Rhinolophus ferrumequinum: one gene and its partner. The protein of the gene in region 2 interacts with the protein of the main gene of each other region in a pairwise test. Links are inferred from orthologs where the notes say so. Each region holds a gene or a part of one and is shown on either strand. Other genes may lie near its edges.

Evidence for each region. The genes of interacting proteins can lie anywhere in the genome.
Region 1: the proteins of DDI1 (region 2) and CYGB interact in binary tests that used the Homo sapiens proteins (3 or more experiments, as listed by UniProt). The two-hybrid records come from large-scale screens. The link is inferred for Rhinolophus ferrumequinum from reciprocal best matches to the Homo sapiens genes DDI1 and CYGB.

Annotation. Positions count from the first base shown.
Region 1 is NC_046304.1:51,178,109-51,185,329, forward strand, and holds the start of CYGB (cytoglobin), read right to left. Parts: upstream 3,016-7,221; 5' UTR 2,897-3,015; coding exon 2,754-2,896; intron 1-2,753. Other genes in the region: photoreceptor disk component PRCD, read left to right, coding at 5,577-5,650, 5,898-5,970. UniProt on the Homo sapiens protein: Probable multifunctional globin with a hexacoordinated heme iron required for the catalysis of various reactions depending on redox condition of the cell as well as oxygen availability.
Region 2 is NC_046294.1:73,280,570-73,286,110, forward strand, and holds DDI1 (protein DDI1 homolog 1), read left to right. Parts: upstream 1-3,831; coding exon 3,832-5,031; downstream 5,032-5,541. UniProt on the Homo sapiens protein: Probable aspartic protease. Seems to act as a proteasomal shuttle which links the proteasome and replication fork proteins like RTF2. Required, with DDI2, for cellular survival following replication stress.

The DNA of each region.
Region 1 (7,221 bases), on a different chromosome or scaffold from region 2:
GCCCAGTGAAGTTGGTGGAGTTGGTGGCAGGGCCAGGAAAGAGCCTGGCAATCCCTGCTTTGACAGTTTCCCCTGACAGTTTTCCCATACTGCCTCTGAGAGACTGCAGCGAGGGGTGTGGGGGAGTGTTGTGGCCTGGGACCGAGATAAGTCTCCTGCCTCAACATCCAGCGCCCTGAGGAATGACAGTCCCAGGGAGCCCCTCTTCTGGGCCAGGGACATCTAGGGGCCACGTGCTCTGCTCCCTCACCCCAGCCCCTGCGTGTTTACTCCTAAGCCTCCCCATCCAGTCCCGTGCTGCCAGGGAGAAGCCTCACCAGCCAGCCTTGCGGGGTTTCTCAGCTCCCAGAGGCCTCTAGGCTTCCAGGAGAGCCTGAACTAGGCCTTAGAGCATGGGAGTGCCCTCCCTGTCCTCCCGGGCAGGGTATGGAGGTGTGGGGTCAGACCCGCAGGAGCACCTCCACCACCACCAGCATTGTGGCTGATAACTCCTGGGGTGGGGTGAAGGCTGTAGGATACACCTGGCCTCAGCCCAGTGGGGACGAAGGAGGCGACAGTGATGGTCAGAGGGCTAGTGTCTCAGGCTCTCACTGGGGTCTGTCCTTGTGGAGGGGAGTGGAAAGATAGGAGGGGTTGTGACAAAACGGAGGGGCATAGGATCTGGGGGGGAGGCTCCAGGATACCTGAGAAGCTCATCAGTCTTGCCCTTGCCCCGTGTTAACACCCACTCCCCCCCCACCCCAAATGTCCAGGTCCTGGGGCAGAGAGCAGGAGGAAGAACAAAAGGGAAGGAAGGCTGGTGGGACCTGGGGCTGGTAGGAAGGATCTGAGCCAGCACCGGGCCAGGGCTGGGCTGGGCTGGGCTGGGCTGGGTGCCAGTCCACACAGAGTGGGGTCAGGTGAAGTGTGGCACGGGGTGATCAGCAGGCGAGGCCTCCTCACATTAACTGCGAGGCTCCCTCTGAGCTCTGAGCACTTTGGCAAACACCTCCCCCATCCCAGTCCCGGCCCTTCAAAGAGTCAGGAATGGGACACTAGAGGGGTACAGTGAGAGAAAGAAAACCTTGCCAGAGCAGCCCTCAGTGTTCAGTTCCTTTCTCTGTAGGCCCCCATTCCTGGGGAGTTGGGGTGATACCCCAGAAGCTGGATCTTAGACACATCCCATATAAGCTCTCACTGGCAAATGACAAGGTGGGGGTGGGCACAGAGAACCTCCAAGGTCCATCCCGGGGACTCTGCCTCATTTCCTTTTGGTGACCCCTGGGTGTGTCCTATGCATCCTGAGGCCTGGTGGGCAGCCGAGCTTGCACACAGCTGAGAGCTGCCCTCCAGGGAGGCTGTCTGGCCCACTGCGGACTCCACGACCCACCCACCGTGTGCTCGTGCAGTTGTTCGCACATGGGATCTGCGTGTCCAGAGGGCTGATGTCTTCGAGCTCTTGAAATCCCCTCTTAGCTTTTCCACCCCCCCACCCCCCACCCCCCCCACCCCGCGAGGGGCCGAAATAGCTGCCCCTTCCTCAGGAAGCTTCCTCCAGCTCCCCAAGAGTGCCTCTTGCTCTTTTTCCCCCAAAATCTGTTTCTAAGTTGGAATCAGGGCATATCAATATGGAGCTGGGTAGATCCCAGGCTTGGGGGAGGCAGAAGGGAGACAGTGTGGGGGAGAAAGAGGAGCCAGAGACGGGGAGACAGGCGTGCGCTTCATCTGTCCTTTCCATGAGGTCTCACACCATCTTCAAATAAGACTGGCCTGCTCTGTCCTAGATTTGACCGCTTCTCTCTGCCACGGACACGGGTTGGAGGTGAGTGTAGTCTGGGTCCCCTCTGCCACCACCCCCAGGGCCCAGCACGTGTGGGAAGTAAGTACAGATCTGTAGCTACAATCAGTTAACGGCTTAAGGGCTTGGGGACACTACTGTGTAGGAATGGTGTGTGCACCTGTCTGTGGGTGTGTGAACAACACTGTCACTGTGTACGTGGGTTCCTCCAGGCCATGCGGTGCCTGCATGACCCCTGAGCCAAAGACATGTGGCCTTTCCTCCCCAGGTGGTGGGTTCAGGGTGGGGCCTTGTCTCCTGTAGCTTCTCCCCTTCCCTCCACGAATTCAGTAGGGATGTATCCTCGGGGACTGCTTGCTCCTCCGTTCACCTGTGCCTCACCTGGAAGCTCCCTGCTGGCCCACTCCCTAAGGTCAGGAAGGGCCTGCTGGGAAAACTGGACCTCAGCCTCTGTTCCTTCTGTCCTCTATTTTCTCGTCCTTTGCACTGTTCTTCCAAGAGGCTTGAATTCTTTCAAGGGGTTGAGCTGGAAAGAGGGCTCTGCTCCTCTTTGTCCCCCTTCTGGGCTGAGCCTCAGTTTTCCCTTCTCTAAAATGGGGAGCCCCCACTGAAGCTCCCCTTTGAAAGGCTGTTAAAATGTGTATCCATAACGGTGGCGGGTGGCTGGGGTCATTGATGAGGAAGGCATGACTGGCGGAGCTTGGAGTTCTGAGGCCAGGAGAGGAGGGGGACAGAGGTACCCTCCTTCTGCATGTGGTTCCTAGTTTTTGGTGAGTCCGGCACCCAGAGCCAGGCAGGGCTCAGCCAGGGTTTCGCCCACCCAAGGCACCCCTGGCTGAACGCATCCCGCCGGCCGCGGCCCCATTCGCAGCTGGGGAGGTGGCGCCGGAGCTCGGACCCTGGCCGAGCCCGCTCCTGCCCGGAGCCGCTGCCACCCTCCCTCCCCCGGGCCCGGCGGGGCTGGGGCGACACCTACCTCACCAGGATGGCCACCCCCACGTCCTCGCAGTTGGCATAGAGCCGGGCCCACGTAGCCTGCACCGCCTTCCTCTCCGCCTCGGACAGCTCCTCGCTCCGCTCCCTGCGCTCAATCTCCATCTCGCCCGGCACTTTCTCCATGAGCAGCACCAAGCCCAGCCCGGCTTCGCTCGGCGGCGGCGGAGAGCGGAGCGCTGGGCGCCGGGAGCCGGGGCGGCTGCGTGTGCGGCGGGCGGGCGGGCGGGCGGGAGGGCGAGGGGTAGAGCGCGCCGGAGGGAGGGAGCGTGTCTGTCTGTGTGCGCCGGGTGTGTGTTTGTGTGTGTGTGTGTGTGCGCGCCTGTCTGCGCGCAGGATATATGTGCAGGGGGCGGGGGACCGCGAGCGGGGGGCGGGGATGTGGTCTGATGGAAAAATGTTAAAAAAAACAAATCCGCTCCAAACCCCCAACCCGGTGTCCGTGAGCCAATTCCTGCAAGGTGAAGGCAGGGCAGGGTGGGGACAACGCGGCTGGCGCTAGCCCGCCCGCCCGCAAGGACCCCACGGAGTTTGACCGCGGGGCGGGGCTGGGGCGTGGGTGTGGCGGCTGTGCTGGGGGGTCCCGGGAGGAGGGGCGGTCACGCGGCGCGGGGCGGTGCGGGTCGCACAGGAGTGCACCCAGCTGGGTGCAAGTCTGGGGGCACCGCGTCTCGGTTCACGCTGCGAGCGATATTGGGACGCGCGTGTGTGTGTGTGCACCCTTCACGCGGCGGGGAACTGACTCAAAGTCATAACAGTCCCAGGCATTAGCGGTGTGGCCGCCGGCCGGAGCGGGTATACGCGAGCCCCTCTGGCGGCGCGGCGGTCGGAGCTGAGCTCCCGCTGGCTCCTGGCCTCTCCTGAACCAGCCGCTGGGTGTTGCGGCGCCTCTCCCGGAGTTCCGGACCCCTGGAAGGTTAGGACTGGGTCGTCTCCCTGCTGGAGTCTCCCCGCTCCAGTACCTTAGTGGAATCCACCGCTGCGGGATGGGGCACCGCTTTCAAACTTGGGCGCCAGAGGCCTGCGCTCCCTTTCCTTCCGACCAGCACCCCCAGCCCTTTGGTGCACACCCTCGGCGTGGGAAAGAAGTCCCTGGGTGTCTAAGTAATGACACAGGCCGGCAACAACCAGGCGCTGCCCGGAATTCTGGGACCGGGGGAGCGCAGTCCGGAGAGACAGCAGGGCTGGGCAAAACAGACCTGGGAGGGCCAGGAAGTGTTGGGGAGGCCCAGGCCACTGGAGACAGCTCAGCCACCAAGGCCCCTGTTAGGGAGGGGGTCTTGTCTTGGTGGCTCCTCTCTGGGAGATGTAAATATACTATTGGATCAGAGGTGGGGACCGCACTTCTGAGAGCCACCGGTTCCCACTCTGCAAGCAGGTGCTCAGTCCTGGGACAGCCAGGCCCCACCTCTGACTCCCAGGGGAAGCCTGATGCCAGGTCCCGCTGCAGCGTCTGAAACAGTGGCACACTGCAGGTATGTCCACCTCTCCCTAGGGCTTCCTTGCTCAAGCCTTTGTGTCCCACTGCTCAAATATCGCAAGAGGTTGGCTCTTCTCTTCAGCTTTGGTTTATGTGTTTACTTAAAAATCCATATTTCAGAATCGAGATGCCAGGCGCAGGCAGTCCCAGCTCTGGCCCTCCTTGGGGCTCAGGATTCAGGTGCCTTACTGGAATCCTGGGCTGGTGGCCTCTTGACACTACCTCCATCTTGGCCGAGGGAAGGAAAATCTAGCCTTCTTTTGGGGCCTTGGAGGGGGATGGAGGAGAGAGGGTGGGTTCAGTTCCTTGCATCACTCTCAGACCCAGGTCCTCACTTTGGTCCCCCTTGCCATTGCCTCGGTGCCTCGGTGCCTCGGTGCTCTGCCTGGGCTGAGTCTGAGCATTGCCCCGGGCCACCTCTCTAAACTCCTCTGATAGTTTCCCAAAACCTGGGAGGTGGCCTTCCACATGGCTGCCCAAGAAGTTCCACCAGGACGTGCAAGTAGAAGAAATCTTTTCTCTATTTATTTCTATTTCATCCTTTACAAGTTCTACATATGTCTATGGGACAGGGTTGTATTTGCACAGTAGCATAGTATATATGTATAAGCCGATGCTTCGATCTACTTCGTGAGTGCACACTGAAATTCTGCCTCTTACTGAGGAGGGGAGTTGATCAGAAACGTTTGGAGAGGGCTGACCAGAGGGAAGCACTGAACCACTTAGCCAGCCCCTCACTCCCTGGCTCCCTTGTCTTCCTGGCTTCACTATTCCTCCCCTCCTGATGCCTCGCCTGTGACGTCATTGCCCTGCTGCCACTCAACTTCCAGCTGCTGGAACGTGCCCTGCGCTTTGGCTTTTGTGGTCTGCAGCCCTGGCAGAGTCTGTCTGAGGGCCCATCCTTCCTTGAGCAGCTGGCAATGCAGATGCCCCCAACTCCCCTTTGAAGCTTCCCCTGATGCTTGCAAGTCCCAAAGTGTCCTGTAGGTACCTTTAACGGCCTAAATCACTCTACTGTTGTCATTGTTGAACTTGCCAGTGTGTTTGTCTGGACTACACACCCGTCGAGGCCAGGCCCACGTCTCAGTCATATCTACATCCAGAATAGACAGGTCGATTTACCTGGCACTGAGGGACAAGCTGGGCCCAGTGAGGTTAACCGGTCATCTTCGCAAGGTCAGGTATACCGACCCCACTAATCAGCTTGAGCCTCCTAATCCAGCACCAGCAGGAACCTTAGGACACAGCAGTGGCTTGGGGAGCTGGCAGGGCCATCTTGGCCGTCCTCCGCAGACTCCGCCTGGGAGGGGATGGGGCAGATGAGCCATGTGTACCACCCTCTTCCTGCTCAGCACCTTGGCTATGCTCTGTCGCCGACGATTCGCCAACCGGGTCCATCCGTGAGGAACTGACGGGGCCATGGGCTGGGGAGGGGGGAGAAACTGCTTGGCTGGGCTACACAGAGCTGCCTGGCCCTCCAAGGAGGCTGAAGGGATTTGCAAGGAATCCCCAGAGGTGCCCCCTCAGAGTAGGGGACTTGGAGCTCTTCAGAGACACTGGCCAATGTGACTAGGTCCTGCCCAGAAGCAGGAGAGGGAGTCTGGGGTCTGGCCCACAGCTCTTCCTGCCTGTTCTTCCCTCCCGCAGAGAGCCCAGTGGAGTAGATGGGGCAGTTTTGGGCAGCACCTTGGAGACAGACTCCGAGCCCCCAGGCAGGTAAGGCAGAAGAGTCTGGGGTGGAGGAGGGAGAGTGCTGCCATGGAGGCTGCCCGTCCCGTCCCTGTCCACGCCTGGGGGTGTACATGGGTGTGCGCACGCACTCTATTCTGGCACCTGGCCCCCCTGTTTCCTCTTTGCCTGGTGGGCAGGCTCAATGTCTGTTTTCGCCAGTTGGGGATGGGAGCTCCCAGCCTCTCCTGTGGACCAGAGCTGCTTTGCTTTGCTTTGCTTGTCCGAGAGTGCAGGGTGGTCCCCAGAGTCCTTTCTGCAGAAGGCTTTGGGGGAGTGGAGAGAGGGATGAGGCAGAAGCAGCTCTGCATGGCTTTGCTTGCCTTCCCTTCCCCCTCCCTCTCCCACTGCCTCCTCCCAGCCTCAGAGACTCCACTGCCTGAATGATTGGCTGTCCAGTCCCCAATAGAAGGCGCAGGAGCAGCATGACATCATCAGCACTGAGTGTCATTGGCTGGGCAGCCCCTGCGGGCAGGACGCTGTCTCCGGTGGCCAGAAAGTTAACTCTTCCCTAGGCTGGTCATGTGGCCTGCACAAGGGGTAAAGTTTGGGGAACTTCCGGACTTTTCCTTCCCTGGGTGATCAGCGTCCTTTGATGATAGGGGCTCCTATGCCCAAGAAAACATTAAAAAATCAACCAGCATTTATTAAGAACATACTGTTGGAAATGTCTTTTGTGCCTATGGACCCACCTAGTGTGGGAGACCTCTCTGAAGAATGACATTCTCACCTGCAGAAGCGGCTATTAGCCCCTAGCTTCTCTCCCTCCTGGTGAAACAAAAAGCATAATGCTCATAGATTCCAGGGCCCTTGGAAGGAGGGTGTCTCCCCAAAGGGTTCGAATGGCTGACACAGCATGCATGCGTGTCTGTGCACCCCCATGTCTCTTTCAGGCTGTGGAACCTGCCTGTAAAGTGCCCCTGAGATGAGTGGAGACCGGCAAGCTGAGAAAACTTGAGTCTTTCTCTATGTCTTGGTCCCTGATTTTCCCAGGTCCCAAATGTCAGAAGGCCCACCCGGAATTCCTAGGCATGGGTGGGAAACAAAGACGTTTCTGTGAAACCCTCCCCGACATCTAGGGTAGCTGATCTAATTACTACTACTGATGAAATGGGTGGACATAAACAAAATGACCATCACTGGGCTTCATGCACAGGAGGCTGGCAAGTGCTGACTGGTCCTCACTGTTGAGTTGGGGTCTGGAATTGGGCAGAGTTTAAATTCTGGCTCTTCTCTTGCCAAC
Region 2 (5,541 bases):
TAATTATTGTATATGCTATATAATAACGTTTATGCAGATACTCCTTTTTATTTCTCATTGAAAAGGCATTTATTTTGCTCTGAAAAGCAAGAGAAAGAGACGGTACTTTAAACATCAACTGACTATGCTAAGTGGAACCATCAGTTATCTGCTTTTTTGTTTTGTTCTGTTTTTCTTTCTTTCTTTCTTTCTTTCTTTCTTTCTTTCTTTCTTTCTTTCTTTCTTTCTTTCTTTCTTTCTTTCTTTCTTTCTCTCTTTCTCTCTCTCTCTCTTTCTCTCTCTCTCTCTCTCTCTCTCTCTCTCTCTCTCTTTCTTTCTGTTTTTCTGCTTCAAGTTTTTATAAAGACGCAAATAATGAAAGGTATTATTGTAAATTAGTTCCAAAAAATAACTTTGGGGTTATTTACTTGGCCAGTATGAAATCAGCGTCATCTTTCCTATTTTCTGGGTATTTAGGCTATACAATGAGAATTGATTTTCTGAGTGATAGCCCTGAGAACTTGCAGGAGTCTCACTTATCAAAGAAAGTTTCAATTATGTTCCTATATTGTACTTACCAAGGAAGAAATTAAGGGAGTATACTTCACAAAAGCCTCCTTAAGAAAAGTTGCAATAACCTTCAGATACCTAGCTTAGCACACCTAGATAATTCAGAGGACCCATTTCTCAGTGGACTGTGCAATAGAGATTTATGGGATAAGAACATTTTACTTTTAGCAGTATTTATATATACTCCCAATAACCCCCAACTTTATTACATAATCAAAAGAGGTTTTCAATTAAAATTTAGGGGTAAGAGAACTACATATATGACAGTTAACTCACCAATAGTGCTGAGTAAAATAAAAGAATCAAACAGAAAATAAACAGAAGTACTAGACAATCCCAGGAGGCTGTGTTTATCTGTTTAGATTCCAGGCTGCTTTGCAAGAGAGTTTTAAGGCCTGGATGGGTGGCTGGACTAGAGAATCCGAAGGATGTTTGCCAATCCTGACATCGAGTGATCCATGGAATGGTGACAGTTAACTGGCCAGACCTCGAGGCTCTTTGATTTCCATTGAGTGTTCTCAGTAAATGCTAAATTAGTAATAAGCACATAAATGCAAAATGCCACCAAAGTAAAGAATTACAGCAAGGTGATAAAACATACCACATAGAACTTAATTATGTTCAGTACCAAGGAAGGCAATGGAGATACATATACATATATGTATCAAAAATAAACAACAAAACCCTTACTCTACAAAATAATGTCATCACTGTTCAAGAAACCAAAACCCTAGAATTATCGCCCTAATTTATTAAGATTTTAAGAACAAATTGTCCAAATTTGTAGGGGAGAAAAAAAGAGAAACATGGAATGTAAGCCTCACTGGCTTCTTATTGGTTCTGTAGCAGAGTGATTTGCATGTGGCAATCTCAGGAGAAACGATTAAACCATTATTGATCTCTGGTGAACTTACCAGGATGTTAAGAACCACAGAAGAAATGTATTAACTTAATATTTTTGGGTCAAAGTTCCATCTACCTCCAGAGACAGTAAAGAATAGTTCTAAAAAATTCATAATTTTCTATGGGAAAAATACAGTGCTAGATTTTTCTCCCCTAAAATGTTATAAAGTCCTCCATGTTATGAAGTGCTGCCATTCTAGTAACAGGCTCTAAGTCAGGCCTTCCTCTCCTCAGCCTTTATTCCTCCATCCCGACCCATCCCGACATGGCTGACGTCTTGTCACCTTTCTAAGCCCATCTCTTTCAGGAAGCCTTCCCTGAGCAATAGCCTTCACCATCTTCTTCATTTGTTCTCCAGACATTGTTACTTTTTCCCACACTGTGACAGCTTCTGTGGTATTTTTTTAAGTCCCCAATTTGTATGTGTGCTTGTGCACATGTCCTTTTTTAGGCTGTGAACTCTAAGAACACAGCCTACGTTTCACATTACTTGTGTATGTATCCCTAGACCTTAGCACATGCTTCATACATAGTATTTAGTTAACATTTCCAATATAAATGAATAAGAATATGGAAACATTATGATAATTAGACTAATGAGTGGGATATAGTCTGAGACACAAGGGAAACACATGGGAAACAGGAGCCAAAAAAAAAATAAATAAATTCTTTAGGCTGATGCAATATCCTCCTCTAAGTAATGGTGCAGGTATTCTGGCAAAAATTGCAATAAGCGGCGTGGGGGAACCTGGCACGAGATGCTATCTTTTGGTTCATGAGTAGATACACAAGGGAAGATCAAACCAGGGAAGCAAGAGCTCTTTATAATGCAAAATACTTAGTAAAACATAAAGAACTGACACCCAAGGATTTCTACTCAATCATTATTTGCTCTCAAGGACCTCTTTACCCTTTCTCTGTGAGCCTCCACTCTGGAGTATATGGATTGGGGGTACTGTCCTAGGGTCGGGGGCTAGGCATATCCAGCGTCCAGTGTGGCATTCCCACGCATTTCACACAGAATTGATGTCAAATCGGTCTCCTCAAAGTTTCATCTCATTCATCCATCCAAGGTAATGGCCTATTTCTAACCAGTCTCCCATTTTAGAGACCCCCCGTGTTATCCACACACACGCCTTCTTGTACACTCCCCACATCTATGGGTAAATATATCCTGTGCGTTCTATTCAAGAAACACTTTTAGTTTTTGCAGCTTCAGCTTTAATCTTCCTTATAGTTCCATAATATTCTAGCAACAGCTCTCTCTTTGAGCCACTAAGAAAGTGTCTATTTGTCCCTCCTGCCACCATATGTCCTCCATCTGTTGCAAGAAACCTCTTCCTTAAATCAATTAAATAAAATTAAAAAAAAAAATTCACAAATACCTGTATCAAATCTTTTACATTTCCTTTCCTTTCTCTTTACTCTTTTTATTCCCTCCTTTTCTCACAAGTTTTGAGGGGGGAATCTTGCTTACTGCTAATATTTAAATTCCTTAGATTAATATATGACTCTGTAAATTGGCTCCAATCTTTTCTTTCCCAGCTTCATATCCTGCCATTTAAAATCATATACAAATTTCTTCCATTTCATTGACTGTTTCACTTTTCACAAGAAATAATAGGCCTTGTCATTAATTCTTTTTTTTTTTTTTTTTTTTGTATATTCATTTCTTTTTGTCTGGAGTGACTCTCATCGTTTTCCACATGGAAAATGCTCATCCTTCAACATCCTTTTTCCTTTTTAGAGAAATGTCCTTCGTTCTGTTGGTTCCCTTAGTATACTGAACGTGTCTTTGGAAAAGCACTTATCTCCAGTATTCTGATTTACCGATTAACCTTTGATCCCTCCCGAGAATGTGATCTTCAAGGACAGGCACTAAGTCTGACCTACCTCTCACATTAAGCACATAGCATGATTCTTTCTATGTAGGATCCAAGCACTCACTGTTTGGGGAATAAAAGGACGAAGACTACAATGCTCAAATGAACAAAATGTATGTTTACATGTTGTTTAGGAAGAGCTGAAATTTTTTCATATCATGGGTTAAATAGGCTCTGAAGCGCTAACCTGGGAACCCAATGGATTGGAGTAACTTCGTTTCTAGGGGAGTGGACATTCTAAGTTCCAAGCAGCACACATACTAATGAACTTTGGAACACAACATGATACCCCAGGGTTCCACCAGGCTAAGCAGCAGGCACTGAGGCTGGCAAGCAGCCCTCAGACTGGTAAGTGCTGAGCCTCTTGGAAAGGTAAATGAACCTAAATGAAGGCAGCCAGTCGTGAGGAGCAGCTGAGCCAGTAACCGAGACCAGCTCCAGTCAGCCAGTGCACAACAAATGCCCTCTGCCCACCTGGCCCGCCTGGGCCCATGCCATGCTGGTCACTGTGTACTGTGTGCGGAGGGACCTCTCAGAGGTAACCTTCTCCGTCCAAGTCAGCTCTGACTTGGAGCTCCACAATTTTCGTGCTCTCTGTGCGCTCGAGTCCGGCATCCCAGCTGAAGAGATCAAGATCGTCTACATGGAGCGACTCCTCGCTGATGACCACAGTTCCCTGGGCTCCTATGGCCTCAAAGATGGTGATGTAGTTGTTTTACTTCAGACGGAGAATGTGGAACCTCGGACTTCTGGACGGACACCGAGCCTGCCTCGAATAGATTTCAATGGAGTAGCCATGCCTGGGACATCCGGCTCCCGGCAGCAACACCAGCAGCAGCGTCCACAGTCAGCCCAGCAGACCCATGGTTTAGGTTCCGGAGAGAATTTAACATCTGCTCAAGGTATGGACAGCCCCGCCTTGATTCGAAGCATGCTGCTCTCCAATCCCCATGATCTGTCCTTGCTGAAGGAACGCAACCCTGCCTTGGCCGAAGCCCTGCTCAGCGGAAACCTTGAGACATTTTCTCAGGTCCTAATGGATCAGCAAAGGGAAAGGGCCCTGAGGGAGCAAGAGAGGCTTCACCTCTACTCTGCTGACCCATTTGATTTGGAAGCTCAGGCCAAAATAGAAGAAGAAATCCGGCGGCAAAACATTGAGGAAAACATGAATATAGCGATGGAAGAGGCTCCAGAGAGTTTTGGACAAGTGGCCATGCTCTATATCAACTGCAAAGTGAACGGACATCCTATGAAGGCTTTTGTTGACTCAGGTGCCCAGATGACCATTATGAGCCAAGCTTGTGCTGAGAGATGTAATATAACACGGCTGGTAGACCGCAGATGGGCTGGGATTGCTAAAGGAGTGGGCACACAGAGAATTATTGGCCGAGTTCATCTAGCTCAGATTCAAATCGAAGGTGATTTCTTACCATGCTCTTTCTCAATCCTTGAGGAGCAACCCATGGACATGCTTTTAGGGCTAGATATACTCAGGAGACATCAATGTTCCATTGACTTGAAGAAAAACGTGCTGGTGATCGGCACCACTGGCACACAGACTCACTTTCTACCTGAGGGAGAGTTACCCCCATGTGCTAAGCTGGTAAGTGGTACTGGGCTACAAGAGTCTCCAGTCACTGAAGTAGCAGATAATATCAAACATTCGGTCATGGACGCAAGACGAAGAAAACATTGAAATGGGTTACACATAAGTCATCAACTTAAGGGAGTCTCAGGTTCCGGGAAATTTGAAGACATGAGCCCACTGGCAATGTAATCATTAAAAACATCGGTAACAACTAAATCTGGCTTTGGGACCAAGTTCTCATAGCTGTAACCATGTAAATCATAATGGCCTATTCTTGCCCCCTCTTCCATTTCCCTCATCCGTAGTTCACTGAACCTGATCCTGGGAAGGCTCTGGAGGCTCCAACTGATTACCAGGTAATCAATGAACGGAAAAGTTACCTCTTCCTTTAGCGATATCCTCCCATCAGATTACAGGGCGGCTTGTCCAAACTAGTTGTGATTTTGCAGAATTCATTGGAATACACCATCGCAGCAGACCCCACAACCATCGACACAAAACTATTTCGAATCAGCACTAACAATTATTTATATTCAGAGAAATATGTCTGTTGTCAAAAATTTTGTTTTCTTTGAGAAAGTTATTAGAAATGCTGGGTCAATTATACTCTTGAGTTGA